Linked DNA regions of Callithrix jacchus. The protein of the gene in region 1 interacts with the protein of each later gene in a biochemical or structural test. Links are inferred from orthologs where the notes say so. Each region holds a gene or a part of one and is shown on either strand. Other genes may lie near its edges.

Region 1 (10,844 bases):
CATGTCAGGGTATGTGCAGAGGAAGGATAACCCAGCCCTGGGGTCAGCTGGTGGTTCCCTCTGCCCCACCCACACCTGCCAGGGACCCCACCCCTGTGCCCTAATTTCTTCAACTCTCCCACCAGGGAGAAGCAGATATTCACTCTGGCTCCAGGAGAGCCCCTCTTTCCTGAAAGACCTTTTGTCTTTTTCTTTTTTCTCTTTCACTCTTTTTTTTTTTTGAGATTTAGTCTCACTATCACCCAGGCTGGAGTGCCATGACATGATCTTGGCTTACTGCAACCTCTGCCTCCTGGGTTCAAGCGATTCTTCCACCTCAGCCTCCTGAGTAGCTGGGATTACAGGCACCCACCATCATGCCCAACTAATTTTTGTATTTTCATAGAGTCAGGGTTTCCGCATGTTGACCAGGCTGGTCTTGAACTCCACCCACCTCAGCCTCCCAGTGTGCTAGGATTTCAGGCGTGAGCCATTGCACCCGGCATTAACAAGTGGGGGCGGCTCTCTCCTGCCTCCTGGTGGTTTCAGCCATCCTGAGCCTTCCTTGGGGTCATATCTGCATTGCTCCAGTCTCTGCCACGGCCCTCCCCGCTGTGTGCGTCTGTGTCTCCTTTTCTGTCTCTTGTAAGGACACCCGTCATTGGATTTCGGGGCCAACCACCCTAATCCAGGATGATCTCATCTCAAGATCCTCCACTGAATGACATCTTTGAAGACACTTACTCCAAGTAAGGTCACATTCACAGGTTCTGGAATGTGGGCATTCCTTTTAGGGTGGGGGCATCTTTCAACTCATTAAACTGACAGAGGCACTTTCCATAGGCCTGCAGCGTGGAGGGGAAGAGGGCTGGCAGGCCCCGGACCCACAAGCCAAGGCACAGAGCTTGTTAGGATGCAGGGAGGGGCTCCTGGACAATGAGCCAGGGATGAGGCCCCTAGGCTGGGGATCTGGGAACCAACACACACACACACACACACACACACACACACACACACACACACACAAGCCTGATGTGGCTGAAACTGAGAGAGCAGGAGAGAGCAGGACCGGGTGTGTTTAGGAATGAGACACACCAGGCCCTGCATTCCTGAGTTGGAAGAGAAATTGAGAGTTTAAGTCAGGAGGGGCAAGGCCCGATTTTCTTTCACATGGAAGTCAGAGCCAGGAACTGGGTAGTTTGCCTTCGTGGGATCCCAACGCTCCCCAGGAATATTATGCTGGACATCAGTGTGGCCAGGTGTGACTCCTAAAAAAAAAACACACTTTGGCTCACAGGGACAGGTTTTTTTGGGGACACATGGCCTCGGGGGGTGCGGTCCTTGGTCGAGAAGGAAGGTGACTTGATTCGGGTGCTCACGGACGCCCTCTGGCCGCTGTGCAGAGAACTGACTGTAGGGCTGACAGTGAGGGTGGAGCGGGAGGACCAGGGTGGAAGCCGCTGCACCGGGTGGGAGGTGATGGGGCTGGCTGGACTAGGAGAGGTGTGAGCAGGGTACGCCACCATACTAAGCTAATTTTTGTATTTTTAGTAGAGATGGGGTTTCACCATTAGCCAGGATGGTCTCAATCTCCCGATCTTAGGATCTGCCTGCCTAAGCCTCCCAAAGTGCTGGGATTACAGGCATGAGCCACCTCGCCCAACTGGATTTTTTTTTTTTTTTTTTTGAGACTAAGTCTTGCTCTGTCGCCCAGGCTGGAGTGCAGGAGCACAAAATCAGCTCACTGCAACCCCCGCCTCCTGGGTTCAAGTGATTCTCCTACCTCAGCCTCCTGAGTAGCTGGGATTACAGGTGTTCACCACCACACCCATTTAATTTTTGCATTTGTAGTAGAGACAGGGTTTCACCATGTTGGCCAGGATAGTCTCAATCTCCTGACCTTGTGATCCACCTGCCTTGGCCTCCCAAAGTGCTGGGATTACAGGCTTGAGCCACTGCACCTGGCCCGACACTGTCTCAAAAAATAAAAATAAAAATAAATCAGAAAGGAGATGCCCAGTGCCGCTTTGTGTCTTGAGCAATCACATAATCCCATCACCCCTTCTCTGGGCATTTCCTCATCACACAACAGGAGCCAGGTGGATCCTGGCTCAGGACTTTGCAGCCTCAGTCATGCTGTCCCCTGGGCTCTCCAAGAGTGCAGGGGGCAGCTCAGATGCCAGGCTCAGGCAGGGCAGGCAGCACAGTCCCACAGAAGGCACTGGCCAGCCCAGGCACCTATTGCTCAGTGGGATGGCAGAGGTCAGCAGAACAGGAAGAGAGGGACAATAGCTGTGCCTGTTGCCTGGCCTGCCACAGCCTTCTCAGTGTTTGCCAGCTGGGTGGGGCTGACTAAGCAATCCTCAGCAGTGAAGCTCAAGGTTTCATCTTCTCTCTCTCTCTCTCTCTCTCTCTCTCTCTCTCTCTCTCTCTCTCTCTCTCTCCTCTCTCTCTCTCTCTCTCTCTCTCTTTCTCTTTCTTTTCATGACAGAATCTTGCTCTGTCGCCCAGGCTGGAGAACAGTGGCGCGATCTCAGCTCACTGCAACCTCCGCCTCCCTGGTTCAAGCCATTCTCCTGCCTCAGCCTGGCGAGTAGTTGGGACTACAGGCACGTGCCACCACGCCCGGATAAGTTTTTGTATTTTTAGTACAGACAGGATTTCACCGTGTTAGGATGGTCTTGATCTCCTGACCTCATGATCTGCCCGCCTCAGCCTCCCAAATTGCTGGGATTACAGGCGTGAGCCACCATGCCGGGTCTCCATCTCCCCTTTCACTTTACCCCTCTGCAGGTCCTGGTGGGGCTGAGTTGCACACAGTCACACCCTGGAAACTGCAAAGAACCAGTCATCCGATGAAGCTTGAGCAGGGTCTCAGCGCTTAGAGGCTTCCAAGAACTACAGTTCCCAGAACACGCAGCATTCAGTTGCTGTCCAAGTGGCTGGGTTTGAACTAGAACAAGGAAATCTCGCCTGTCCTGGGAACTGAGCGTCCTGGCCTGTTCCAGGTGCGTTTGTGACTCATGTTTCTTGGATCTGTGCCCTCCTGAGAAATCCCCGTTCCTTATAAACTACCTGGTGCATTTGTCCACACAGGTTTGCTGAGAACCTGTTATGTGGCAGCTTGAGATGGGAGTGAGGGGTTGACGAGAGAGACTCAGTCAGCCTCCATCCTCACAGTCAGATGGAGACAGATCCATCAAAGGTCGGAGGCTGGCTGGGTACCCTCTGTGATCTAGCACGTAGTAAGTGACCAACAAATCAACAAGCAAATAAAAACTATCTCACTCTTGTCTTTCATTCCATCTTGCCTTTCCACACTGATTTACCAGCTCCCACGATGTTGCACTATCCTAAAGCGTGCTGTAGCTCTCTGGCTTTTGCACACTCTGTTATCTCTACTGGAAGCATATTCGGCTTACTGGCTCACGCGTTTGTCTGTAGGACAGAGCCTGGCACGGAGCAGAGGGCACATTAAATATTTGATGAGTGAGTGAATGAATGAATGAATGAATGCCTTTCTCCATTGTACACTCCAGGAAGCAGGGACGCTCGGGACCCTCCGTATTTATCTCTGCCCCCCGCCCGCCCCTAGAGTATGAATGCACTTTTTATCAGCTCCGAGGATGGCCAGGCTGGGGCAGAGGCCGGGCGGGGAACTGGGTTAGGAGCTGCCATCGACCCCCCACCCAGGCCTCCTAAACGGTCCACTTTCCCGGACGTCGGGAGTTCGCATCCTGTCCCCGAAACTTGGCCTCGGTCACCTGACTCCCCCGCCCCTCACCACCCAGGGCACCCTAGACGGACATTCAGCCAACAGCACGTGGTTCAGGGGCCCCAGCTTCCTTCCCATTGGCCGCTCGCCTCCTTCCTTCCCCGCGATTGGCCGGGACCCAGCCGCAGCTCCGCCCCCCCTCCTCAGCCCTCTGGTGGTACAGCCCGCCGCGGCTCAGGCGGGGCGGAAAGGTCCACTGCTTTGCGGCGCAGGGGGAGCCGGGAAGAGCCGGGTGAGGCGGAGGGATCCCTCTGGAATGTTTCCGTCGGGTCCACCCGAAGCGGGAGGCGCGGATTGGCCGCGAGCTCCGGAAGACAGCCGCTAATTGGTCTTCCGCGGGCGTCGGCCCCGCCCCCCTAGGCGCCACTGCGGGAGAGGCCCAGGCAGGAGTTTGCGGAGGGCCGAGCCGGGTGCGCGCGGGGAGGCGGTGGCGGCGGCGCAGGTGAGTGGCCCCGGCGGGAGGGATGTGTCCACTCTGGGGGCCCCGGATGTCGCGGGCCCGCGAGGATCCGGCGGATCGTGCAAGGTGGGGCGGGCCCCGGGGACGCGACTGGAGGTCTAGGCTGAGCGCGGGGATGCCGGAGGCCCCTTCCTGGGGGGAGCGAGGGTGGGGGTGGTGGGGGCAGCTCCCTTCCTGCTGGAGGGCAGAGGGCAAACGCCTCCCAGCACCAGGTAGGGGTCTCCGGGCTTGCCCCTCCCCCCTCCCCCTTCTAGACGGCCCCCATCCCGGGGGGGACAGGCGTGGGGTCGATGTTTCTGACCCTTTCCTGTCCATTTTCCCTGAGCGAACCGCGTCTGAACCCTCCAGGGCCTGGGGCACGCAGTGAGGACCAGGGCCTGGATAATTATCATCATGAAAAACTCCACCCCAGCTAGCATTTATGGAGCGCTTCCGTGTCAGGCATTTACCATGCGGATCATTGAATCAAAACACTTCATGGGAGGTGTTGTGCCTTCTTGTAAAAAAGGTGAGGCAGCAGGCTCAGAGAGGTGGAGTGACTTGCTCAAGGTCACACAGCTAGTAACTGGCACATCTGGGGCTGGAACTCATGCCCCCAGGGTCCAGAACTGGAGTCTCAGCCACTAGACTTGATACCCACTGGCTCCATAGTTCAGTTGTTGCTGAGCAGCTCCAGCCCCTACCCCTCCCACCCCTACCTCATACTCATCATCAGGGCCACACTTGTTGGTCTTTTGTTTCCTTCCCCCCCACCCCCACAACCCCCAAAGATCACCAGATACCAGCCACTCAAACAGGAAGCTGCCCTCATGTCCCTTCTACCCTGAGCTGGAGAGGGCAGGTTTGACTACCTGGGTCCAGAGAAGAGTGACATCTGCAGGGGCCCAGGATGCTGGGGTCCTGGGCCTGCTGGGTCCCCCCTGGCAACCTGGGCCAAGGCTGAGCAGTAGGCGTTCTCCAGGGAAACACCCAGGAGCCGGTTTTTCAAGAGTGAATCAGAGGCCTCTCTCCCTCCTCTCCAAGGCAACACGGTGTGGGAAGGGGGAGCCTGGGCGTGATTTCCCCCTTCCCCTAGCTTCTGTGTGCTCCCAGGAACCCCTTTCCCTCCTCCTGCCGACCACACTGTGTTTCTGGATGGCTGTGGGGTTGCGAAGTTTCAGGCCCTTCCCAGGATGAGGGGGCCGGGATGCCGAAATTCCAGCCCAAACAGTTAATATCCAGGTCGAAGTTTCTCTTCTTCATCTCTGCGTTCAGGTGTGAGGGGAGCCAGGGAAAGTGGGGAGTTAGTAACCCCACAGTAGGCATGTTTGGGGGGCTGTTTTGAGGATGGAGGTTTGCAGAGAGCAGTCAGAATGAGGACCTGAGACACATTCATTCATTCTACAAATATTTCAAGTGAGCACCTACTATGGGCACGTGCTAGGCACTGTTCTTGGCACAGAAAATAACATAAATGAACAAAAATTCCTGCTCTTGAGGAGTTGGCACTCTGAAAGGAAGCAGCCAACAGCAAGTTATCAAGTAAATAAAGAAGATAATTTCAGATGACACTAAGTGCTATGAATAAATGTGTGGGTAGTACTATAGAGGGTTGTGGGCAGGGGGTGCCAGTGCCAGGAAGATCAGATAAGGGGGTTGGGCAAGGTGGCTCACACCTGTAATCCCAGCACTTTAGGAGGCCGAGGCAGGTGGATCACTTGAGGTCAGGAGTTTGAGACAAGCCTGGCCAATATGGGGAAGCCCTGCCTCTACTAAAAATTAGCCAGGCGTGGTGGTGCATGCCTGTAATCCCACCTATTTGGGACACTGAGGCAGGAGAATCACTTGAACCTGGAAAGTGGAGGTGTCGGTGAGAGGAGATCGTGGCACTGCACTCCAACGTGAGCAACAGAGCAAGACTCCATCTCAAAAAAAAAAACAAAACAAACAAACAAAAAAAAACAGGTCGGGCAAGGCCAAGGTCTTTCTTTAGGCTGGACCAAGCTTGGAATCTAGTTGGAGCAGATGAACCCAGAGCAGGGATTCTGCAGGGGTTTGTGGGTCACAGTAAGGAGTTTGCAATTTTTCTTCCAGAAGGTGGGAAACCGTTGTAAAGTTTCAGTCAGGGCAATGATGCCATCTCATTTATGTTTTAAAATAGAGACATGAAGTTAAATGACAGCCTGAGGCTGGAAGACAAGAGTTCTGCCAGGGCAGCATGCAATTAAGTTCCTGGGCCTGAGCTGTCTGTACCACAGGGGAGGTTCCAACATGCTGGGGCAAGCCTGGGAGGCTGCCTGGAGGAGTGAGCCTGGAGTAGGTCTTGGCAGGCAGAGAGGGCGGGGATATTCCTGGGCAGGGCAGGGCAGAGAAGGCGATACCAGTAATAATGACAACAGCTTCCTTACATGGAGTCTGAGGCAGAGTATAGATGGGATACGTGGGCAATCTCTTTGGATTTCCATAACCACCTTGAGAGTGACAGGAATTCTACCCATTTTTCAGATGAAGAAACTGAGGCCCTGTGAAGTGAAGTGACCTGCCCACAGCCACACAGCTGGTAAGTGGCAAGGGTGGGATTTGAACCCAGGCCATGAAGCCTCTTATGGCTGTGGCAGGCAGATTCATTAATCACTCACTTTCCTCCCTGCTGTTAATCCTCACTCACGGGTGGGGACACAGAAGCCAGCATGAACCAGGGCAGTGGGTGTGGACAGAGAGAGAGTAGGGAGGTTGGGAATCTTGGTCAGGATGTAGGGATCTTGGAAGTTTGGATCTTGGTACAGATGGCAGTAGTAATAATTGTCACCAATATTTACAAAAAGCTTATTGTGTACCAGGACTATTGCAAGCACATGTGTGATTTCCTTGGAGCTCAGAGAGGTTAAGACCCTTACCCAAAGCCACACAGCTAGTAAGAGATGAGGCCAGGTTCCAGACAGGTTTTTAGCTTCCTGCCTCCCAGTGCACAGAGCTGGTGGAGTTGGGGGGGTAATGACGGATGACAAAGGCTTTTTTCTTTTTCTTTTTTTGAGACAGGGTCTTGCTCTGTCACCTAGGCTGGAGCACAGTGGCATGATCTTGGCTCACTGCAACCTCCACCTCCCAGGTTCAAGCAATTCTCTCCTGCCTCAGCCTCCCCAGTAGCTTGGATTTCAGGCATGCAGCACCATCCCTGGCTATTTTCGTTTGTTTTTTTAGTAGAGACCAACCTGACCAACATGGAGAAACCTCGTCACTACTAAAAATACAAGAAATTAGCTGAGCATGGTGGCACATACCTGTAATCCCAGTTACTCGCGAGGCTGAGGCAGGAGAATCACTTGAACCTGGGAGGCAGAGGTTGTAGTGAGCCGAGATCGCACCACTGCACTCTGGCCTGGGCAACAAGAGCAAGACTCCGTCTCAAAAAAAAAAAGAGAAAAAGAAACCACACAGACAATGAAAGGTGAGGGAGATGCTATTCCTGCCTTCCTGGCTAGCTGAAGCACCTACTATGTGCCTAGCACCAACCTGGGAAGCAAGAGATGTGGGGGCCACAGAATGGGACTTGTGCTTTTGCTGCAGAGATGAGAGCCTTTGTCTTCCTGGGGCCAGGCACCCAGACTGCTGGGTGTGTGGATATTGGGATCATTCAGTCATCCATTCATTCATTCAACAAATATTATTGGCCGGATGTAGTGGCTCATGCTTATAATCCCAGCACTTTGGAAGGCCAAGGCAGGAGGACCACTTGAGCCCAGGAGTTTGAGACCAGCCTGGGTAACACAGCAAGACCCCATCTCTCCAAAAAAAAAAAAAAAAAATTAAGGCAAGGTGCCATGGCTCATGACTGTGATACCAGCACTTTGGGAGGCCGAGGCAGGTGGATCACCTGAAGTCAGGAGTTCGAGATCAGCTTGACTAACATGGTGAAACCCCATCTCTACTAAAAATACAAAAATTAGCTAGGCGTGGTGGCATGTGCCTATAATCCCAGCTACTAGGGAGGCTGAGGTAGGAGAATTGCTTGAACCCAGGAGGCAGAGGTTGCAGTGAGCTGAGATCACACCACTGCACTCCAGCCTGGGTGACAGAGCGAGACTCTGTCTCAAAAATAAAAATAAAAATTGGCCATGTAAGGTGGTGTGCTCCTGTAGTGCCAGCTATGGAGGAGGCTGAGGCACGAGGATCACTTGAGCCCAGGAGGTGGAGGCTGCAGTGAACTATGATTACACCACCACACTGCAGCCTGCACAACAGATGACACCCCTGACTAGGAAAACAAACCGAGGCTGGTTGTGGTGGCTGGCTGACACCATTTTCCTTCCAGTGAGGCCAGAGCCCGAGGAGGGGTCATAACAGAGACAAATGTGACGTGACTTCTGTTTTACAGGACCATTCTGGCTGCTGTCTGGACACGAAGTCGTGGGGGGTGAGGGTGGAAGCTGGGAAACCCACCAGGAGGCAAGAGCAGTAGTTTAGGTGAGTGATCATGGAGATGGACCAGGTAGGAATGCATTCGTGAACAAATGGGTACATAAGATTGGGTGCGGGCCGGGCAGGGAGGTTCACACCTGTGAGCCCAGCACTTTGGGAGGCTGAGGCAGGCGGATCACGAGGTCAGGAGTTCGAGACTAGCCTGACCAATATGGTGAAACCCCATCTCCCGAGTAGTTGGGATTACAGGTGCCCACCACCACGCCTGGCTAATTTTTGTATTTTTAGTAGAGACAGGGTTTCGCCATGTTGGTCAAGCTAGTCTCAAACTCCTGACCTCAGGTGATCCACCTACCTCGGCCTCCCAAAGTGCTGGCATTACAGGTGTGAGCCGCCACACCCAGCTGCAGCTCAGGTCAGGGCCTTTCTACTGGCTGTTCTCTCTACTTGGAATGTTCTTGCCCCAAATCATTGCATGGTGCTTCCTCCTGTCATTCAGGTCTCAAGTTCAGCATCACTTGTTCAGAGAGGCACTTCCTGATCTTGTCTATAGAACTTGTCTTGCTTTGTCTCCATATCAACATTAAAAATTATATGAGGCTGGGCACAGTAGCTCATGCCTGTAATCCCAGAACTTTGGGAGGCTGAGGCTGGAGAATTGCTTGAGCTCAGGAGTTTGAGACCAGCCTGGACACCACAGCAAGACCCTGTCTCTAAAAAATAAAAAAATGAGCAGGGCATGGTGGCAAGCCCCTTTGGTCCCAGCTACTCAGGAGGCTGAGGTGGGAGGATCACCTGAGCTCACCACCTAAGGCCTAACTGCACCACTGCACTCCAGCCTGGGCAATAAAGCAAGACTGTCAAAGAAAAAGAAGAAAACAAAAGAAAGAAAAAAAATAGTATTAAACATTTACACCTTTCCCTGCTCACTGTGCATTTCCTCTTCCAGAGATTGTGGACAGAGCCCCAGCTAGCCTATGTATATAGCATCTGTGAGTGAATTAGAAAGACATCTCTTCAGCCAGGCGTGGTGGCTCACACCTGTAATCCCAGCACTTGGAGAGGCCAAGGCAGGTGGATCTCAAGGTCAGGAGTTTGAGACCAGCCTGGCCAATATAGTGAAACCCTGTCTCTACTAAAAACACAAAAAGTTAGCTGGGCATGGTGATATGCACCTGTAGTCCCAAGCTACCTGGGAGGCTGAGAGAGGAGAATCTCTGGAACCTGGGAGGCAAGGTTGCAGTGAGCCAAGATGGTGCTACTGCACTCCAGTCTGGATGACAGAGCAAGACACCGTCTCAAAAAAAAAAAAAAGTCATCTCTTCCTCCTGGTAGACACCACACCAAGAAGCATAGCTTTGCAGGCAGAGCACAGGCTGAGTTCAGTCCCACTTGCTGCCTTGGTCTAATACTTTTGCACAGTGTACAACTCGTGTAACTGCACGTGGTGACCCTAGTCAGGGATCTTTTTTTTTTTTATTGAAGGCAATATCTAAAATGGTGCACAGAATCTAGTAAGTACTAAAAAAAGTGTTTGAAGGGAGGGGAGAATGCAGAAAGAGAGAAATAAAGAAACAGGGGCCCAGCACGATAGCTCACACCTATAATCCCAGCACTTCAGGAGGCCGAGGTGGGTGGATTGCTTGGGGTCAGGAGTTCAAGACCATCCTGGGCAACCTGGCAAAACCCCATCTCTACTAAAAACACAAAAATTATCCAAGCATGGTGGTGTGCTCCTGTAGTCACAGCTACTCGGGAGGCTGCGGCAGGAGAATCACTTGAACCCAGGAGGCGCAGGTTGCAGTGAGCTGAGATTGCGCCACTGCACTCCTGCTTGGGTGACAGAGCGAGACTCTGTCTCAAAGAAAAAAAAAGAAACAAAAATAAATTTATGTCCATCAAGACAATTTTTGCTGTAGTAACCCTAAAAGCCTTAGTGGTAACCTCAAAAGTCTCAATGGCTGAATTCAGCAAAGGTTTGCTTTTGCTTCCTGCCACACTTCCATTGTGGCTCAGCAGGGGGCTCCATTCCCTGTAGTCATTCAGGGCCTGGCTTCATATTGTCACTGCCATATCAAATGTGGCTTGCCACCCTGCCTGGGAGACATAGATCTCTGGAGGCTCCAGCATTTACAAGCTTCAGCCCAGAAATGTCATGTGCCACTTCCTCTTACAACCCATTCACCAGAAAAAATCATTTACCTGCCCAGTCACAAGGAGGCCAGGAAGTGC
Region 2 (10,047 bases), on another chromosome or scaffold:
GAAGTGAATGAAGGGGTGGAAGAGATGGTCAGAAAAGACAGAAATGCACCTAGCAGAAGGAGTCAGAGCTTCCAGGGCCACATGTCCTCCTGCCTGATGGTCATGTTCACATGGACTCATGACTCATCTTTGTTTTTCCATATCTAAAAAGTTATGGATCTAAGTTATCATCTTGTAAAAATATTACAAATTCAATAGTTTTTTTTGCCCAGCTTTTCATTAAAAAAATTTCAAACACAGAAATATTGAAAGATATAGCAAATATCCTCAGACTCCTTACCAAGATTTAACAGTTGTTAACATTTCATCACATTGGAGCTCTCAATCTGTGTGTGTGTGTGTGTGTGTGTGTACATGCAAATATATTCACATTCATTGTTTATGAACCTTTTGAAAATAAATTTTAATACCATGCCACTTTACCCCTATACATGCTAGCACACAGTTTCAAAGGGCATTTTTTTTACTGAGATGGAGTGTCACTCTTGTTACACAGGCTGGAGTGCAATGGCGCGATCTTGGCTCACCGCAACCTCCGCCTCCTGGGTTCAGGCAATTCTCCTGCCTCAGCCTCCTGAGTAGCTGGGATTACAGGCACGTGCCACTGTGCCCAGCTAATTTTTTTTTGTATTTTTAGTAGAGACGGGGTTTCACCATGTTGACCAGGATGGTCTCGATCTCTTGACCTCGTGATTCACCCGCCTCGGCCTCCCAAAGTGCTGGGATTACAGGCGTGAGCCACCGCGCCTGGCCTCAAAGGGCATTATTAAATATTCATAATCATATTTCTCCAGCTGGCCTCACAACATTTTACATATAGCTCTTTGTTCCATCCAAGATCTAATCAAGATTCATGCATTGCACTGGGAATATCTCATTTGTTTCTTCTAATTTGGAGTACTTGCCTCCAGTTTTTTGCCATGACATTGATGTTTTGAGAGGCAGACCTGTTGTCTTTGAGAATCCCACACTGAGGATTTGTCTAAATATTTAGCTTGTCTTTCATTTTCATCCTGCAGTTCTTGTGAAATGGAAGTTAGGTCTAATTGCTTGATTAGATCAAGGTTAAATACTTTTAGCAAGAATATAGGTTATGCTGTGTACTTGTTACAAAATCTTATTAGGAAGAACATAGTGTCAGTTTGTCCTGTTCTTAGTGATGCTTGAGTTTGATTACTTGGTTAAGGTGGTCCCTGCTATATCACTGCTTTTCAAAAGTTTATTTTTTTCCTTCTTAATTGGTGTGAAATCTATGCAGTCTCTCTTACGCCCTGTGAACATCTTGCCTCCCAAGCACCTTTTACTCATCGGTTTTGGCAGCCATTGATGATCCTTGTCTGAAATAATTATTTAATTGAGGATTGCAAAATGGTGATTTTCTTATTGTAGCATTTCCTTTACATTCGTTAGGTAATAGTCTTCTATAAACGAAAGCTCTTTGTTTCTCCCCAGTTTATTTAAAAAAAGGTATTATCACTGTGGGTCAAATTTTTATCTTTTCAAATTCAGTATGTTATAATCAATTACTGTAATTCTTCTTTTGATGTCCTAGTTGATCCATTTTGGCCAGGCAGAGCCTCTTCAAGTGACCACTTCTGTGGCGTACTTCTGTGTACACCTTGTTTCTTGGTACAATAAGATGTTTCATGTTCACCTCATACCTTCCCTGGCTAACCCTATAGTCAGTATTTCTCCTGGGATCCACAGCTCCATGTTGTGGGCAAGAGTATTTAGAAATCAAGATGTGGGCTGTAGGTCTGCCCACTGCAACTGGGAAAAAAGGATTTCATTTCCTAATGGGGAGATGCTCAGAGCAGTGGTGGGAATGGGGGTTTGAGAGGAAGGGCAGACATTTAAAAGTTCTAGTTTCAGTGGCGGCATTGTTTAATGATCTTTTCTCAACTGTTCCAGGACGAAATGCCCTGCATGTGGATGTTGATATGTCCTCTGGTTTTATTTATTGGTGTGATTTTAGTAGCTCAGTGATATCTGATAATGCAATCCGTAGAATTAAACCAGATGGATCTTCTTTGATGAACATTGTCACACAGGGAATAGGGGAAAATGGAGTCCGGGGTATTGCAGTGGATTGGGTAGCAGGTATGTAAGCTGTATGGTGATTTTAATCTGTTTACATCTCTGTCGTCTTCTTTTGTGCTAGAAAAAGTTTAGTCTAACTACATGTGCTACAGATTTGTTTCTAGACAAGTATTAAGATCATTTAAGATATGTTGAATCTAGGTTAAGCTATGTATCTATTTTTTTTTTTTTGAGACGGAGTTTTGCCCTTGTTACCCAGGTTGGAGCGCAATGGCGTGATCTCGGCTCACCGTTATCTCTACCTCCTGGGTTCAGGCAATTCTCCTGCCTCAGCCTCCTGAGTAGCTGGGATTACAGGCACGCGCCACCATGCCCAGCTAATTTTTTGTGTTTTTAGTAGAGACGGGGTTTCACCATGTTGACCGGGCTGGTCTTGATCTCTTGACCTCGTGATCGACCCGCCTCGGCCTCCCAAAGTGCTGGGATTACAGATTACAGGCGTGAGCCACCACACCCGGCTGCTGTGTATCTATTTGATAAATGATATGGTGTTTCAGTTTACAGATTCATAACAAATTCTTATCATTTTCTTCTATTAACATAATCTGAAGACAAAAATGTCTAAAATATTAAATTATGTGTATTTTTTTCACTTTGATTTGTACCTAGTTTCTGCATTAGAAATTTTCTAAATTTTCAAGAGAAAGGGATAAAATATATAAACTATGGAACAGGATTCATTTTCTTTAAAGTTGAGAATTTTAGTTGCCAAATTCTTAATTACTTCCTTTTGTTCATATATAAAAATTATTTAATTATGAGATATTTTATTACCAATTTTATTTAACTGCCTATTCCAGTATTGCATTCACTTAGTTGTATTGATTCATGCACGTAAGCTTAAATTACCACTCATTTTTGTCACTCATTTAAGTAAAAATACACCTCAAAATTAGTGCTGTTATATATTTTGGAATACAGTCCAACTCTACATAAAATCAGTAACATTGGATCAAGCTTGGTAGGTATCACTTAGAAATATTAGCATGTGTTATGAAAATCTAAGTACTATAATAAGAGTTTATTGCAAAAAGTAAATATGGTAATATGGTTAAATAAAGCTTTAATTGGGTTTCTAACTCTCATTCCTGATTACAAATTACTATTTCTGAGGGTGTAGATAAAGCAGTAGTCAGCAAGCTTGCTTGCGAGTCAAATGCAGCCTGTTGCCTGTTTTTGTAAATAAAATTGTATTGGAACATAGCTATGCCCATTTATTTATGTATTGTCTATGGCTGCTTTCATGTTACAGTGGCAACATTAAGTACTTGTAAAAGAAACCATATGCTCCTCAAAGCCTAAAGTATTTATTATCTGGCCCTTTTTCAGAAAAAGTTTGCCAATTCTGGATTAAAGGTTTGGAAGTGAGCAAATACATACATAGCAGGTAGAGTTAGGTAATGAAAAAATCTATCAGTAACACATTTTGCATTGGCCTGATTTCTCTAGAGGTGATTTGAAGCAGATATAGGAAGAAAATATGTGTGTCTTGGTAGTAGTAGTGATAGTCCAGCAACAGGCTTTCAACTACATGGAATCAGTAATTTGGGATCAGTCTCTAAATACTATCTTCAGAAAGTTATCTTTTTATTCTAGCATTACATTGTGCTATAAGACCCAAAGCGAAATGGACTTTTGTTTTGGTGGCTTTTAGAAGGCCCATGGATGAAAACACCAACATTAGTTAGAAGGACTAAGAAAAAACTTCATGTTACCCCTAAGCACAAAGAACATTTGATAACATCAATAACAACCTGAGATGCTGCTGGTGCCCCCTCTTTGCTACTTTTATCACATTGGGGTAGAAGTTATGCTATGACAATGTATATTTAGAGTCTTTCAAGTAGGTTTTAAGCATTCAGTGATTCAGGTAGAAAAGGAAGGACATTCTGGAAAATATATCTTTCAGTAGAAAGTGTGTTATGATGTTGCTATGAATTCTAATCTACTTTAGGAGCTGAAGATAGGTACATTCTCTCTAAATCTGAAGACTCAATTTCTGTAATTCCTAGGAGTAAGTATTTATTTTTCTAAGCCTAGACTGAGACACTTATTTATTATCTTGGAAAAGACAACATGTAGTGATGCAAACCTCAACCTTATATATTTTGTTCTGAATTTGTAAAGTTTTCCCTTTTTTTCTTTTTCCTTCTCCATTGATCAGCATGCACTTTCATTTTCCTATAGGAAATATTTATTTCACCAATGCCTTTGTGTCTGAAACACTGATAGAAGTTCTGCGGATCAATACTACTTACCGCCGTGTTCTTCTTAAAGCCACAGTGGACATGCCTAGGCATATCGTTGTAGATCCCAAGAACAGATACCTCTTCTGGGCTGACTATGGGCAGAGACCAAAGATTGAGCGTTCTTCCCTTGACTGTACCAATCGAACTGTGCTTGTGTCAGAGGGCATTGTCACACCACGGGGCTTAGCAGTGGACCGCAGCGATGGCTACGTTTATTGGGTTGATGATTCTTTAGATATAATTGCAAGGATTCATATCAGTGGAGGGAACTCTGAAGTGATTCGTTATGGCAGTCGTTACCCAACTCCTTACGGCGTCACTGTTTTTAGAAATTCTATCATATGGGTAGATAGGAATTTGAAAAAAGTCTTCCAAGCTAGCAAGGAACCAGAGAACACAGACCCACCCACAGTGATAAGGGACAATATCAACTGGCTAAGAGATGTGACTGTCTTTGATAAGGAAGTCCAGCCCCGGTCACCAGCAGAGGTCAACAACAACCCTTGCTTGGAAAATAATGGTGGGTGCTCTCACCTCTGCTTTGCTCTACCTGGATTGAACAACCCAAAATGTGACTGTGCCTTTGGGACCCTGCAAAGTGATGGCAAGAGTTGTGCCATTTCAACAGAAAATTTTCTCATCTTTACTTTGTCTGATTCCTTGAGAAGCTTACATTTGGACCCTGAAAACCATAGCCCACCTTTCCAAACGATAAATGTGGAAAGAACTGTCATGTCTCTAGACTATGACAGTGTAAGTGATAGAATCTACTTCACACAAAACTTAGTCTCTGGACGTGGCCAGATTTCCTATGTCAGCCTGTCTTCAGGAATCCATACTCCAACTGTCATTGCTTCAGGTAAGTGCACTCCAGGTGCTGCTTATCCCAGAAGTAGACACAATGGGGTCAACAGACATGGATGACTGAGTTTTTCTAATGCATATTGAGACTCTAATGCCTTTGTGTGTGCTTGTGTGTGTGTCTGCTGGTATGTGTCCAGGTATAGGGACTGCTGATGGCATTGCCTTTGACTGGATTACTAGAAGAATTTATTACAGTGACTACCTCAACCAGACGATTAATTCCATGGCTGAAGATGGGTCTAACCGCACTGTGATAGCCCGTGTTTCAAAACCAAGAGCAATTGTATTAGATCCCTGCCAAGGGTATGCCATCATCTTCTTTGTTATATTTCTATCTGTTTATTTCTCAAAAGAGTGGGGCCTGAAATAATGTTCATAGACTGAGCTTATAACACGATGGCCACAGATTCGAAGGTGAAAGTACATTGAGTGATTTTACCTGGGAAGGAAGGTGCAGAGTGTAGCTCCCTTTGGTGGCGGAAAGGTTGGCAACATACTAGAAAGTTAACACTCTGACTCAACAGATCCCTTTTGGACAAGTTGTGTAAGTAGAAATGGGGTTTCTTTGGCCATGTTACTGGAAATTTGCAATTAAAGTATGTTGTCCTTTTTTTTTTCAAAGGACTATGAGGTTTCCTGTGAATTAATTGTTGACTTCTTCCATATGACTAGGTACCTATATTGGGCTGACTGGGATATGTATGCCAAAATCGAGAGAGCCACATTGGGAGGAAACTTCCGGCTACCCATTGTGAATAGCAGCCTGGTCATGCCCAGTGGGCTGACTCTGGACTATGAGGAGGACCTTCTCTACTGGGTGGATCCTAGTCTGTAGGTGTCTCTGGTTACTCATGTGGGTGTTAAAAGTTTTTCCTCCCATTTCCAAAGAAGAGGGATTTGCATCATGTGATGAAAATGTAATATGCCAGATAGACATTAACTAAATTTATAGAATCACAGTTTTAGGAACTATATTTATATTGTAACTTGGTGAACATACCTGTGAAAATTTATCTATATCGTGCATTGAATAATTATGAACTAAAAGATATCTAAAGATGCATTACTAAATATATCTATAATATCAGCTATAATTATAAATGTATTTTATCAATTAATAACTACAAATGAAATTACTCAATTTACATTCTGCAGGCCCTAGGTAACTGCCATCAAATCTGAATGACTTTAAATGCCCAGTGATATTAAGTTCTTTTCTGGGCTTTAGCATTCAGTGTCTGTTAGAAAATTCTTTTCTTGGGCTGGGCGTGGTGGCTCACGCCTGTAATTCCAGCAGTTTAGGAGGCCGAGGCAGGTGGATCACTGGTCAACATGGTGAAACCCCATCTCTACTAAAAATACAAAAAAATTAGCTGGGCATGGTGGCACGTGCCTGTAGTCCCAGCTGCTCAGAAGGCTGAGGGAGGAGAATTGCCTGAACCCAGGAGGCAGAGGTTGTGGTGAGCCGAGATCACGCCATTGCACTCCAGCCTGGGTAACAAGAGTGAAACTCCGTCTAAAAAAAAAAAAAAAAAAAAAAAGAAAAGAAAATTCTTTTCTTTACTCTTTCTTCTCTGGCAAGGTTCTCCTCAGCACATTTCTTAATTTTTTCCTTTTGTCCACTCTAATTTATATGTAACTTCTCCAAGTACCCTCCAAATGTTTCATATTCCAGCCATCCTAAAGGAATACTTGAAGGGATGAAATTTTTGCCTATAATGGCTGGTGTCAACAGATAGGGAATCTTAATTTTTCTTGCATATTTCTTTGGAATTTTAGTCTTGTGATGCCAGGTACCTAACATCCTGATCTTTTCTTTATTCTCCTATTTGAAACAAAGCAGTGATGCTTTGGGTCTAAGCTTGGCTTATTCTAGATAAATACCTCGAGGTGCTCAATAAATATCAAATTGAAAATGCCACTAAAAATGTGGGATAGAAAAGTCATTGTTTTATTGTGCTCAACGCTGAGTTCCATGCATTACATGGGTTATTTCACATTTTCCTGTTTCTAATGTCAACCTCGTTCCTTTTATAGGATTACTATTCATATTTGGAAGTCAATGATTTTATATAGGCCATTGTTGCATAAGCAAATCAGACTTCCCATAACCAGAAGAAACATTTCTAGCTGCCACATACGCCACTTGAAAAGGAAGTTGGGGGCTTGTGTAAACAATGATGAGGCCCATGCATTGGGTTGCCAGTTGAAAACTTAACTCATTTGAGATTTCAGCTTTTTTATTTTTTTATTTTTATTTTTTGCTTCATTTTAGGCAAAGGATTGAACGCAGCACTCTGACGGGCATGGATCGTGAAGTTATTGTCAATGCACATGTTCATGCTTTTGGCTTGACTCTCTATGGCCAGCATATTTACTGGACTGACTTATACACACAAAGAATTTACCGAGCTAATAAATATGACGGATCAGGTCAGATTGCAATGACCACAAATTTGCTCTTCCAGCCCCGGGGAATCAACACTGTTGTGAAGAACCAGAAACAACAGTGTAACAACCCTTGTGAACAGTTTAACGGGGGCTGCAGCCATATCTGTGCACCAGGTAAGGCATTGACCATGAAAATTGAAACATGAGAATAAGGATCACAATACCAATTGGTAAGGAAAGCTGAAGCTCTCACCAGGAGAAGAAATATCCAGATTCTCTTTGATTTTAGGATAATTTATAAAACAGACCTGGGGCTATATTTTGAGAGGAAGACTTTGTAGACTTATTTTCTATTCTATATGGAGCCCTTTTTATGAAGGCATTTTGTTTTATTTTTGAGATGGAGTCTTGCTCTGTTGCCCAGGATGGAGTACAGTGGTGCGATCTCAGCTCACTGCAACCTCTGCCTCCTGGGTTCATGCAATTCTCCTTCCTCAGCCTCTCTAGTAGCTGGGACTACAGGTGCATGCCACCATGTCCAGCTAATTTTTGTATTTTTAGTAGAGATGGGATTTCACCATGTTGGCTAGGCTGCTGTCAAACTCTTGACCTCAAGTGATCTGCCCACCTCTGCCTCCCAAAGTGCTGGGATTTCAGGCATGAGCCATGGTGCTCAGTTTATGAAGGCATTTTAAATACAAGCTTGATGGAGTTAGAAAGATGAAGGCCTTGGATGCCTCACTTAATGTCTTGACTAGGAATTCCATTAGTGAGCCTACCTTCCTTATTAAAAGGATTTACATTTTCTGCTAAGAGATATTATTTATAGTTTGAAATATTTCTGGAGATATTTGCAGGTGGGATCTTCCATGCTTTATCATGCGTTTTATAAAGAACGACAAATTCATGGGAAGATATGCCTTTTGATGTTGTTGCTTTGCAAATTATGCTTAGAAAGAGAGTTGTTGATATTTCCTGTTGTGTAGAAGGAATCAGGCCTCTATTAGAAATTGGTGATTGCTCTTCTTGATGGAAAGGTGACTCAGAATATAGTTGAAAGGTTAATGGGCAGAATCTCCATGGCTTGTCTTAGCATTTAATGTAGACACTGTTGCAAGTACTATTGTGGAGGAGGAGACAATGTGAATGGTGGCTGCATCCATCTTTCTTCTTCTGGGACTATCTTCATTCAGGACCAGATGGTGCTGAGTGCCAGTGTCCACATGAGGGCAACTGGTATTTGGCCAACAACAAGAAGCACTGCATTGTGGACAACGGTCAACGATGTGGTGCATCTTCCTTTACCTGCTCCAACGGGCGATGCATCTCAGAAGAGTGGAAGTGTGACACTGAAGACGACTGTGGGGATGGCAGTGATGAGATGGAAAGTGTCTGTGGTGAGTTGGCACTTTTGGTAGGAGCTAATGATATCTTGATGTCAAATGTTTGGTACAGAATCCTGCTGTATGTGAATGGGTTTGAAATGTGTGACTAGGCATCCTGGTAGAGCTGAAAAATGTTTCCTCTGATAATCCAGACGGTTTCTGTTAAATCACCTCTGCAGTGGTTAAGAGCACAAGCACAGTTATTATCCTGGTGATTGCATTTGTAAGCTGTATAGCCCTGGGAAAGTTACTTAATGTCTCAAGCCTCAGACGTCTCATCTGTAGAATGGAGCTACTACTAGGGTTCTTGTGAGGAGTAAAAGAAACAATACGTAAAAAACCCTTAGCATGAGACATGGTACATGCTAAGCATGGCTTAGCTTGGGACTAAGGAAATGTATCATTTTACTAATTTTCATAGCACAAAAGTCACTATTTCAATAATTTTATGAAAATAATTTCCAATCCTCAGCTTCCATCTGAATGGAGTGAGTAAGACACAGTGGACTTTCTCAGGGCGGTCTGAGGTTGGTTACCTTTTCTTAGCAGATTGTGATAGGGGCTAGGAGTTTTTATTTTTCTGAAATAAACTATAATTGCATGCTTTTCTCTGGTTGAGATAAATTGAGAGTATAGAGAAATAGAATGACTTTGATTTGTGCTTTAATTAATTGGTTTGTACATAAAACAATTTGTTTAAGAAAGGTGTACATAATCTGACTAATTTAAAGTGTTATCTCACTTTGCATGCAGTCCGTTTTGCAGCGTTTTTTGCCTTGGAAGGTAAATTCAAAGTGTCCGTTTTGTTTAATTGTATCTTTTAAAAAATTAGGATAATACTTTAATAGAGAGGGTTTGTTCTTATGTTTTTTCCTCTTCTTAGCACTCCACACCTGCTCACTGACAGCCTTCACCTGTACCAATGGGCGTTGTGTCCCATACTCTTACCGTTGTGATTACTACAATGACTGTGGTGACAGCAGTGATGAGGAAGGGTGCCTGTTCAGGGACTGCAATGCCACCACGGAGTTTATGTGCAATAACAGAAGGTGCATACC
Region 3 (10,841 bases), on another chromosome or scaffold:
CAAAAAACAAAAAAAGAATTAATTATTAATTAGTTAAGAATTCGTTACAAAATAAAGGAATGCACAAATAGATTTCCAAAATCTAGGACCTAGGACTCAAGATCCCAAGACACAGGGATCAGCAAAACCCAGCTCTGGTCTTGGGGGACACCTGGACCCCTGAGGCCCCAGACTTGCCCTAGAAGAGGTGAGGGGTCCCAAGTACCCCTTTCTGTGAACACCAGTGGCTGGTGCCAGGGCCTCCTTGCCATCGGAAGGGAATGGGCCTGAACCACAAAGGTCTCATGGCCGATGGCGCCACTCCACAAAACTAGCCCCAAAGATCCCTCAAGCCAGGAACCTGGGCCCACACCCCCTAGGATGGTGCGTCTGCAGCAGCCTGGAAAGGACATTTGCCAAAGCTAGAGAAGCCGGCTCTAAGCCTCTGTGCCACAATGACCCCTATGAGAGCACGTCCACGCCCCCCAGGGCCCTCCGGAGGGGAACCCCCGCCCTCACCACCCGCCCCACGGATTCGAGTGAGGCTCAGGACTCCGGGTTGCTGGGCAACCGCGTCAACAAGCCCCAGAGAGTCTGCGCTACACGGAGGTTCCACCGACCCAAGCAGGCAGCAAGTATGGGGTGTGGGGACCAAGAAGGGGCAGGACCTCGGCTCCTGGAGCTAAGGAGGGGTGGGGGCGTTCGCAGCCGCTGGGTCAAGCAATGACTCTGCCACTGGCCCTGGCCGGGCAAGGTGGCAGCTGTAGGCTGGGGCTGCAGACTCTTTTCCCCTCTCCCCATCGCGGACCCTCCCTCCTCTGTCACCTGCCCCCGAAGGTCTGCTCCCCACAACCATCTAGGCCCCAAGGGGAAGAGACAGCTGTCTGGTAGGAGTTGCTGACTGTCGGGAACCGGAGACATGGGGGCACAATGAAGGTGCTCCGGGGTCACCTAGAGGTCTCAATGTGGCGCCCACCCTGGCAGGGCCTGAGATCGACTCTGGGGTCTCGGCATTTCCTCGATTCAAACACAGCAGCCGGTAGGGTAGGAGAGACATTTCCTGCAACTGGGTTGATGAGAAAGTCCCAGTTGCCTTCAGGACTCTGGCAGGGCTGCTGCTCGGGAGAGGGAGTAAGCCTGGGCCGAGCTAAGAGGCTGGGGATGCGGGACCAAGTCCAACTGCGGAGAGCCCAGCGGGCCGGAGCTGGGGCGCACGGGGGTCCGCGAGGGGCGGGCAGGGCCCCGGGGCCCACCGACGGTACGCCCTCTTCCCTCCGCAGGGGGAGGATGCGGCCGCCGGCGAAGGAGGCCGGGCGCCAGGGCCCGCAGGAGCGAGGCGGGAAGAGCGCACCCGGCGCGGGGCGGGGTGAGGGAGGCGCCAAGGCGGCGCCCTCGACGGAGCCCTCGATGGAGCCCCCGAAGCCGGGCTGGGCCCTGACGCCGCAGGGACTGGCGGCCTTGCTCCCCGCGCAACGCCGCCGCCTCCTGCTCTTCGGCGACCTGCTGGAGGATGTGGGCGCGGCCGCCTCCACCTTTCCGCGCGGGTCGGCGGAGCCGGGACACCGCATGCCAGACCCGCACATGTGGACGCAGCCGCTCGAGCTGCCCTCGGAGCGCCAGAACCTGCTCCTGGGCGTCCTAAAGGCGGCAGAGGCTCGCGGGCGAGTCCGCGACCTGCGGCGGCGCTACACCCGCATGCGGGTGAGGGGAGGGGGCGCACGGGGCGCGCGGAACGGGGCGGAGCGCGCGGGACGGGGCAAGGTGGGGCGCGCGGGCGGGGCACGTGGGGCGCGTGGGGCGCGTGGGGCGCATGGGGCGCGAGGTCAGCCACCCGAGTCCCGGCAGGCCGAGGAAATCGCGCTGCTCATTCAGCAGCAGAAGTCCGCGCGCGCCTCCATCCGGCTCGAACTGTTCCTGCCACCACAGCTGAGGCCCACGCGGATCCCGGATCCCCTGGACCGCCAAGAGGTGCGGGCGAGCCCCAGTAGGGGCAGGGAGGGGGCCCCCGCCTTCCTCTGCACACACCCGGCCCCAGCCTGTCCCCGCAGCGGAGGCGTGTGGAGGCCATCCTGGAGGAGAACGCGGACAGCAGTATCTTCCCGCGGTGACGGCGACCCAGAGCGTGCGACCTGCCCCAACCTTCCACATAAAGTTATCATTCTCCGAAGGCTCTCTGGTCTTTCTGCTCCGGCTCCCCAGGCCCCCTGAGGGGAGCGGGGAGCATGGACGCTCCCTCTCCCACGGACCTCACAGACTTACTTAGTGAAGACATGCAAGTGGCTGGGGTGAAAGTAATGGGTCAGAGACACGCCTACCCCCAATCCCGTCCTGCCCCATAGGCAACCTGGCGCTCTGCAGGTCCATGGGAGGCCCCCAGTCTTGAGGACGATGGAGAAAGAGCCTGTTTCAGCAACAGTCACACCCCCAGAAGGAAGGGCAATCTCAGGATACAGGTCCGAGTGTGGGAGAGGGCGGTGCTGTGGGGAGCGAAGTGACCTAAGCTGGCCTTTGAAGAGGTACCAGCTGTACCAGGGGACCCAGAGACTGAGGAAGGGGAACCCCCTCTGGGAGGCTCCTGCTGCCCTAGAGAAAAAATCTCACCCTCTGGTCTTTTTCCCCATCCTGAATAGCCTCCTGTGACCCCCTTAATGCCCTGCGCCTCCCTCCCAATCTCTCCTCTCTCTCCTCCCCCCTCCCCTCTCCCCCCTCTCCCCCCTCTCCCCCCTCTTCTCTCTCTCTTTCTCTCTCTCTCTCTCTCTCTCTCAGGAAACCACCCATGTCCCATTCTGACAAACAGGCCCACAACCTACAAATCCCTGGACTCTGAAAAGCCCCCAGGTTTCTGGGCAGACCTTACTCTTCTCCCTGACATGGGCTCTTTGCAGAAGCTGGGGCTTCCCTGGGGCCCTCCTCCTTTTCCTCCCTCCCAGCACCCTGTCCAGCAGGCTGCACAGAAGCGGGAACTACAGGAACTCAGACAAACCTCTCCTCCTGCCAGGGGGCTCCAGCTGGCTCTGCCTGGAGCCAAGAGCAGATTTGGAAGGAGAGGCAGAGGTCCAATCTGGGGCCCAGAAGGGATCCTGCTCAATGGCAGCCAGTGACACTCCCCAACCCTGGCCGGAGTGGGGACCTGCTCACTCTGGCCCCTCAGCCTGTCCTTCTCCCTGCGCACCTGGCCCTTTACTCTTTCTGGGCTGTTGCTGCCCTAGGCCTTGACCCAAGCCCAGACTGTATACAGAGCTCAGAAGTCAGCTTACAGGGAGGGGAGACATGTCAGGAGGGGGTTCAGGAAGCGAAGGGGAAAGAGGAAGGAGGCCAGGGAGAAGGGGCTTGTGCAGGGCAAACAGACAGGGAAGGGGAGGCCATCTCTGTCCAGGAGTGGCAACCACTCACACCCTGATGTGCTTGTGGCATATGGTGACACCAGCCCTGGTGTCCTCTGGCCAAACTCCCTGCAGCCTGGACCCCAGGATTCTGTCTTGGGGACTGACTGAGTGCGTAGAATGAGTTCATCTACTAGGAGAATCATATATTATCTCATCACTTCTCTGAGACTCCATTTCTTCATCTTTAAAATCAGGATCTTGGTGCAGTGCCCCACACGCAGTAAGTGCTCCAGAGGGGATGGGTCACTCTGCATCAGATAGGCACTAAGGAAAGAGGGGCAGACACAGACACAGCAACCCCAGCACCTTTCGAAGGCCAACAAGGCAGGGACCTCAGTGACTGCTCCAGGGTCAGACCGGCACACCGGCCCTCTGATCCCCATGAAAGGAGGGGGCTAGGTGTGCAAAGGAGCTAGGGAATAGGGCCCAGGACATTTCTGCAGGGCCTTGGGGGACTCCTGCCTGTAGAAAGCTCTGTGGGAAAGGAAGGCATGTGGGCCAAGGCCCAATATACTGGGGGACCGTGAGGGGGCAGAGGGTCCTGGGTTCAAATCCCACCTGCATCATCAACTGCCCAGCTCACCTGACTCCACCCGTGTACTTCAGGGATGCTCTGTGCAGCAGCCAGGGGAATGGAGAGCAGGCCCAAGGGGCCAAAGGAGATGGGGCAGTGATGGGGGGATTGCAGAGTAACCCAAGGGCACAGGGAGGGCACTGACCTTCATCCACTGCCGGCTGCCCACACCTGCATTTCCCCACAGCGGAGACAACAGGCTGACCGGCTGGGCGGGGTCAGCCTGGTTGTGTGGCCTGGAACAGGTGCTGGCCCATCTTCACTGAGCCTCCCTGACCTCACCTGTGCCCACCTCAGGAGTGTTACCTGGGCTGAATAAGAAGCAGCCTGCCTCTTGTCCCCATGGGCTTCCTGGCCCGTGCCTTGCCTGGCCTGGCTTGGCCTGACAACATGGCATCCACAGGGTTCTGAGGTCAAGTCAGCCCTAGCGCGGGCGGAATGGGCTGCGGGGCTGAGGGCGGGGCGGGGCACAGCTTCCAGAGGCAGCCTGTCCTCCAGGGCACTCTTGCCTCTGGCCTCCCCCTCCAGGCTTCTGCACAACCCAGCAGCCCAGCGCCCTCCCCTCCTCAGTGCTCCTGCCTCTCCCCAGGCCTTTCCTGCCTGCCCCCACAAATCACCTGTGCCCCCAGCAGCAAATCCAGGCTCATCCGTGTTGCTGGCTTCTGGTCCCACAGCCTGGCCCACAGGGACTCGCAGATACTGGTCCTTGTCCATTGAATTAGGTGCACAAGCAAGATCTCCAGCTCCCTTTCCAGGCCTCAGAGTTCTGTGAAGGTGTACACCTGACTTGTGCAATTGGAATGCATTTTATGGGCGGCCCCCGACACTAGAGGTGTCCCGGCCAAGTGCTTGGGGAGGACAGGAGTTGCAAACGGGGCAGGAGGGGCACAGATGTTCTGCAGACGGTTCCAGAGTAGGGTCAGGGCCACCTGACACACAGCATGATGGGACGAGACGCCAAACCCGGTCTGTACCGAGTCATAGAGGAGGCGAAGAGTTGGCCAAAGGGACAGGGCATTCGTGGCAAAGGGGGCAGTGTACGCGGGTCGGCAGGGACTCTGCCAGGCCCCACAGAGACATTCAGTATGACTGCGGATGCAAGAGCCGCGCCCCCAGTTCCCCCCAGCCCAGAAGCCCCCACAGCGCGAAAGGCTCTTAACCCAGTTTCACAGACGAGGCTCAAAGGGGCGAGGGGTGCGCCGGGCTGCGGCGCTCGCGGACCAGTCCTTCACTGCAGCCGCCCGTTTCCCTAGCAGCGCAGGCAGCACGCGGGCCCGGCTCTCGCGCGTCCACGCCAGCGCGTGGCGGGAACCCCACTCGAAAGGCAAGGCGGGGACGGCCCAGCCGAGCGGCGTCGGGGACCACGGCCAAGGCCGGTCGACTACAGAGCAGCTCGGGCCGCCGGGGCCGGGGCTCCCCTCTCAACACCCCGACCCTCCCGCCACCCCCGAGCGACCGTGGGGACCGAGCGCGGGCGGGGCGGGCTGCTGGGCCGAGCGCGGGGCGGGGCGGGGCGAGTGGGGCGGGCCCGGCGCCTCCCGGCGCGAGGAAGTCCCGGCGCGGCTTTGGGGAAGTGCGGCCGACGCGCCTGCGCACTGCCCACGCCCCCCCACCGACGGCCTGGCGGGACCTCGGAGCGCGCGGGCCGGCGGCGGCGCGAGCGGCTCGGGAGCGCGGCTGGTGAGTCCGCGCGCGCGCGCGGCGCGGGGACGGCGGCCCTGCCCGTCCCTGCCCGGGCCCGGGGACCGTGCGGGGCGGGAGCCGTGGGAGCCGGCGCGCGGGCCTCGAACCCCACGGGCTCGCGCCGCCAGGTCCACGTGGACCCTGGGCCGCAGTGGAACTGCAGCCCGGCCCCCGCGCGTGGGGGAGGGGGCGCTAGGGCCGGGTTCCCCTTTTTCTGGAGCTCAAAGCCCGGGGAAGTGATTGCTCAAAGGTGGGGGCCGGAAGAACCCAGGTTTCCGCGTCTTCCTCCCCCCATCAGCCTGGTGAGGAGGGGCCGGGGCGGGACACCCTGTCCGCCCCCGCCCCCACCTCGCCGGATCTGGCCGCCACTCAGCCCTGCGAGCCGCAGGGGAGGTGATGCGACCCCGGCCCCAGCCGATCGGGGTCTCCTGGCGCTAGCCTCCCTCCTGCCGTCTGACTTGAGTCCCTACTGCTGCAGTGCACACCCCTTCGGCAGACAGGGTGCGGCCCACACCCAACCTGGCCCCTCCTGCCCCCACCCTGCCTTTGGGTCGCTGGTGAGTAGGGCGCCTTGAGGTAGGGGTGGGGGCATCAGAGGCTGGAGGAGGACACAGGCTCCCAGACTGGACCCTAAGAGCAGAGAGAGGAGCGCAGTGGGTGGGTCACCATCACTGTTTTAGAGGTGGGCTATGGTTTGCCCAAGCCAGATGGGGAGGGTGGCATATGGGAAAGGCCCTGGGCAGGAGTAGAACTGGGAATGGAGCCCCTCTCAACCCCCCCTCTCAAAGGTTGTGACATTTTTTTCTGGGATTGTCACATTTTCTTATTCTTTTTTTGGACTGGGCAGGCTCTGGGACGTTCTTTTTCCTTCTGTGGAGCAAAGCAGCAGCCACTCCCCAAGGGAGCCTCTATCCCCAGAGACCAGACGTGCCGCCTGTCCCGCCTCTCTCATCCCAGACTTGGGGGCCAAAGCCTGGGGGACTGGGGAAGGGGGATCCCCAATACCAGGATGATGAGCAGGGGAACCCTAGTTGAGACTCTGTATCCCCTAGCAGAGAAGGGGAGTAGCCTGGGGACATAGGTGGTCCCAGTTGACCAGAGAAGAGTACAGGAAGCCAGGTCCAGGGATGGTGACCAGGTCCAGGGATGGGGGCCAGGTCCAGGATGGTGACCAGGTACAGGGATGGTGGCCAGGTCCAGGGATGGATGGTGGCCAGGTCCAGGGATGGATGGTGGCCAGGTCCAGGGATGGATGGTGGCCAGGTCCAGGGATGGTGACCAGGTCTAGGGATGGGGGCCAGGTCCAGGATGGTGACCAGGTACAGGGATGGTGGCCAGGTCCAGGGATGGATGGTGGCCAGGTCCAGGGATGGTGACCAGGTCCAGGGCCTGCAACTGGGAAAGAAGGGGCTGGCCCCCTCCTCTGCAGCAAACGAAGGCCCTGCACCCCGGCCCTGCACCCCTGGACACATCCCCTCCTCTAGTTCAGAGCTGGGGCGGAGATGGTAGCCCAGGAGGGACAGTGTCCAGGGTTGGGGAGGACCCTGGGTGGGGACAGAGAGGAGGAAGAACTGCCGCCTGGGGAAGTCACAGCCCGGTCTGGTACAGCTACCAAACCTCAGGTTGCCACACCCCTTCCTTTCCCTAGAAACTCGACCCCTAAAAGGAAGCCCAGCTGCAGGGCTGCTTTCTGTCTCCTCATGTACTTGCTAGGAGCCCATGGGACCCACAGTTTCAGAGAAAGGTGGGCAGGTGGTAAGGGGCTGAGGTCCCCTGCACCTGCTTCAGACTTGGGCCGGGGCAGTGGGTACCCTGAGTGCAGAACTCCAGCATTGTCTCCTCTGAGCTCCATTTACACCCCTTCCCACAACCAGACAGAAACAAGCACTCAAAGGCCACAGGCTAGGGGAGGCATGTCAAGGAGGGTGACAATTGAGACAATAAAGTCGAACCAAGTTGTGAGCCTCCTGGCCAGGGAGGAGAGCAGCCGATGAGGAGGGTAGCGGGTGTGCACGGAAGCCCAGAGGGCCCTACTCTGGGCAGAGATGGGCTCGGGTGTTCACAACCGCCTCCAGGGCATATTGGCACCCTGTGTTTGGGATTCGAATATGTTTGGGATTCGAAATGGTGTCTCGGGTAGCAGAAGGGCAACTCACAGCCTTGGCGTTCCTGGCGCACCTCCCCTGCAGACGGTGCAGCCAAACACCAGGAAGGACTCACACCACACCACACCCCACCTATCAGCAACTCCGGGGCTTTGACTGGGGAGCAGGGTTCCCCCGCCCACTGCCACCCCCACTTCCCTGGCTGGCATGCCCTGCGGTAGGGCCTTGGTTCCACAGCGGTTTCACAGCCTAGAGGTAGAGTGGGCAGGAACAGAGGGAAGTCTTGGGTGGGAGGCAGCAGGACTAAAGAACCATGTTTGTGGGGGCACGTGCCTCCTCACCAGGGCCCTGCACCCCTTCCCACACCCTCAGGCGGTCCGGCCGTGAGTCCCACTTAAATCCTTAATGCAACAAGGCTAGCCTGCCGCCCCTGGCTGAGACCTCCGGGGCCTATGAACAGACCTGGACTCATGGGGGAGAGCTATTCTGCCTACTCCCCACCCGACACCCTAGAAGCGAGTCTGGCCACCACCCTCATGTATCAGTCGGTAGCCCCAGACTCTCGGGGCCCCTTTGGGAGGGGCTGGGAGTCGGAAGCCAAGAAAGAGGAACCCAGGCTTCCGGCTTCCCAGGGACTGAGCGGATGGGGTGTCCTGGAACCTCTTATAGGGGCCTCATCTGGGGTCCAGCCTGGGAGGAGGGGCCACAAGCTGCCGCAGTCCCCTCCTCCATGACTCTGGGCCCCCTCCCAGCCCTGCTGTAAAGCTTAGAGTAGGGGTAGGAGCGGTCAGCAGAGCCGGGTCCAGAGGTAGGAGCAGGCCCCGCTAGGGAGACACCCTCTCAGGACCCCTCCTAAGGGACAGGCCGGGGCTGGGGTTTCTGGTTCTCAGTCAGAACCTTGGCACCTCTCCCCAGACCCCCAGGCTGTGGTGAGGGTCTGAGAGCTGGCACCACGGAGCCTGGGCAACCTCCTCCGCCCACCCATGCCCACCCCGCATGAGGCTGAGAAGCAGGTATGCCACCTCCCCTCTGCCTCCGCTCCCCTGGGGGAGATGGGGTGGGGCAAGCTGAGGGGCCACAAGGAGTTGGGAGACCCCTGAACACCTGGGAGGCCAGAAGGGTCATGTCCCTGGGAGCAGGGGCCATGCATGGGAGGGTAGGCAAAAGGTGGGTTCTGACCTGGAGGCTGAGGTAGCCCCATCTCACCGCAGAACACAGGGCCAGAGGAGGCAGACCGGCCCCCTTCAATGTCCAATCATGATGCAGCACCTCCAGCGGCCCCCAGCCGCAACCCTTGCTGCCTGTGCTGGTGCTGCTGCTGTAGCTGCTCCTGGTGAGTGGGGCCTGGGGTGCCCAGCTGGGGAGGGGGCCAGGGGTATGGGGCCAAGGAGACCCAAGAGGGGTCCTAGTGGCTTCTGAGGCATCCTCTGCAGGCAGGATGCCTCTGCCACCTTGCAGCCAGCCCTGTCCTGTCCAGGGTCTTTGGGGCCCTAGTGATGAGTGGCAGGTGCCTTGGCCTCTGGGGGGGTCAGGGGGCTCGTGTATGGTTCTTGTACCTGTCTTGCCAGGGGTGCATCCAGCTGCTGTGTACACGCATGCACCCGTTCACATAGCATGTGCTTATCAATACTGCTGTGAGCCAGGCCAGGCTGGGCTCTGGGTGCCTGCAGTGGAGTAAGACGGGCACAGGCCAGGTGTGGTGGCTCACGCCTATAATCCCAACACTTTGGGAAGCTGAGGTGGGCAGGAGTTCAAGACCAGTCTGGCCAACATGGCAAAACCCCATCTCTACTAAAAATACAAAATTAGTCAGGCATGGTGGCAGGCATCTGTAATCCCAGCTACTCGGGAGGCAGGAGAATTGCTTGAACCTGGGAAGCGGAGGTTGTGGTGAGCCGAGATTGTGCTATTTTACTCCTGCCTGGGAAACAAGAGCGAAACTCTGTCTCAAGAAAAGAAAGACAGGCACAGAACCCCCCAGACTGTGTGGGGTGGAGGGACTTTCGAGGAGAGACCCAAAGAGGGAACCACTGGCCCTGGGGTGATGGCCAGGAGCTTCCCAGACAGCGTGCGCAGGGGGAAAAGAGCATGGGCTTAGAGAGGTGGTCTCTGGGCATCCCTGTGGGGGTGGGAGTGGGGCTCTCAAGTGGTAACAGATTTTCTAGGAGGGTAGAGGAGCTGGTGGATGTTTTCCTGCCTTGCCGAAGCCTGGCCCTACTCAGGCTTCAGGCCCTGGCTGAGGGGACAGTGCTTCAGCTGACCCATGAGCAATGGGGTGAGCAGGGGACAGTGAGGAGAGGGGGTGGGAGGAGTCCAGGGGCTTTGTCCAGAGGAGTCAGGACGTCTGGGTACATGACGTCTGCCAGCCATCCAGGTGCCCTGGAAAGAGGTCAGCTGGGTGTGGATTTGGGTCCAGCACTGACAGTGCTAGCAGCCAAGGCAGGAAAGAAGCTTCCCTTGAGAGCCAGGGATCAGGCTCCAGAACCTGACCGGTGTGGACACGCGGGTCTGGGACCCTCACGTGCGTCAGCCGACAAGACACTGCCAGCACGCCAGACCTGCAGTGGGAGGCCCCACTGGAGGGACAGGGATGGGAGTCAAGATCAGGCCTAGGAGCAGGGTCCTGCCCAGTGGGCCAGGGACGGGGAGGAGCACCAGGAGCCAAAGGGTCCCTCCTGGAAGGCCAGAAAGTCCCGGCCACTGGGGCAGAGCCTTTTGCCTGGGCACTGTGGCAGGAGCAGCAACCTGGACAGCATATTCCCTGGGGAACTGGGGAGGGACCAACAGGGAGGCCCCGTGTGCCAGGGCAGTGCTGCTTCCTCCCTGCCTCTAGGAACGAAGAGCGGCGGCGTGCGTGGCAGGCCTCCCGGGAGAACAAGCTGCAGCCCCTCCCTAGCTGTGAAGTGTGGTGAGTCCACCCGGCTGGTGTGTGCGCACTAGGGGGCCCAGGCCAGGAGACTCAGGCCTAACACAGCCCCAATGCTCACAGTGCCACGCCAAGTCCTGAGGAGGTGCAGAGCTGGGCGCAGTCCTTTGACAAGCTGATGCACAGCCCAGCGGGACGCGGCGTGTTCCGGGCGTTCCTGCGGACGGAGTACAGCGAGGAGAACATGC

The links.
Region 2: the proteins of GIPC1 (region 1) and LRP2 form a complex in vitro, tested with the Homo sapiens proteins (2 studies listed by BioGRID). The link is inferred for Callithrix jacchus from reciprocal best matches to the Homo sapiens genes GIPC1 and LRP2.
Region 3: the proteins of GIPC1 (region 1) and RGS19 form a complex in vitro, tested with the Homo sapiens proteins (2 studies listed by BioGRID). The link is inferred for Callithrix jacchus from reciprocal best matches to the Homo sapiens genes GIPC1 and RGS19.

The regions. Positions count from the first base shown.
Region 1 is NC_133523.1:13,273,268-13,284,111, reverse strand, and holds the start of GIPC1 (PDZ domain-containing protein GIPC1), read left to right. Parts: upstream 1-4,147; 5' UTR 4,148-4,280; intron 4,281-4,562; exon of another isoform or gene 4,563-4,722; intron 4,723-6,698; 5' UTR 6,699-6,753; intron 6,754-8,568; exon of another isoform or gene 8,569-8,657; intron 8,658-10,844. UniProt on the Homo sapiens protein: May be involved in G protein-linked signaling.
Region 2 is NC_133507.1:60,279,982-60,290,028, forward strand, and holds part of LRP2 (low-density lipoprotein receptor-related protein 2), read left to right. Parts: intron 1-1,911; coding exon 1,912-2,100; intron 2,101-4,287; coding exon 4,288-5,208; intron 5,209-5,350; coding exon 5,351-5,516; intron 5,517-5,885; coding exon 5,886-6,044; intron 6,045-7,488; coding exon 7,489-7,778; intron 7,779-8,797; coding exon 8,798-9,001; intron 9,002-9,742; coding exon 9,743-9,772; intron 9,773-9,872; coding exon 9,873-10,047. UniProt on the Homo sapiens protein: Multiligand endocytic receptor. Acts together with CUBN to mediate endocytosis of high-density lipoproteins. Mediates receptor-mediated uptake of polybasic drugs such as aprotinin, aminoglycosides and polymyxin B.
Region 3 is NC_133506.1:59,547,867-59,558,707, reverse strand, and holds the start of RGS19 (regulator of G-protein signaling 19), read left to right. Parts: upstream 1-5,531; 5' UTR 5,532-5,619; exon of another isoform or gene 5,620-6,100; 5' UTR 6,101-6,179; intron 6,180-6,469; 5' UTR 6,470-8,710; coding exon 8,711-8,740; intron 8,741-8,938; coding exon 8,939-9,060; intron 9,061-10,560; coding exon 10,561-10,635; intron 10,636-10,716; coding exon 10,717-10,841. Other genes in the region: protein LKAAEAR1, read left to right, coding at 703-866, 1,260-1,680, 1,825-1,947, 2,028-2,087. UniProt on the Homo sapiens protein: Inhibits signal transduction by increasing the GTPase activity of G protein alpha subunits thereby driving them into their inactive GDP-bound form. Binds to G-alpha subfamily 1 members, with the order G(i)a3 > G(i)a1 > G(o)a >> G(z)a/G(i)a2.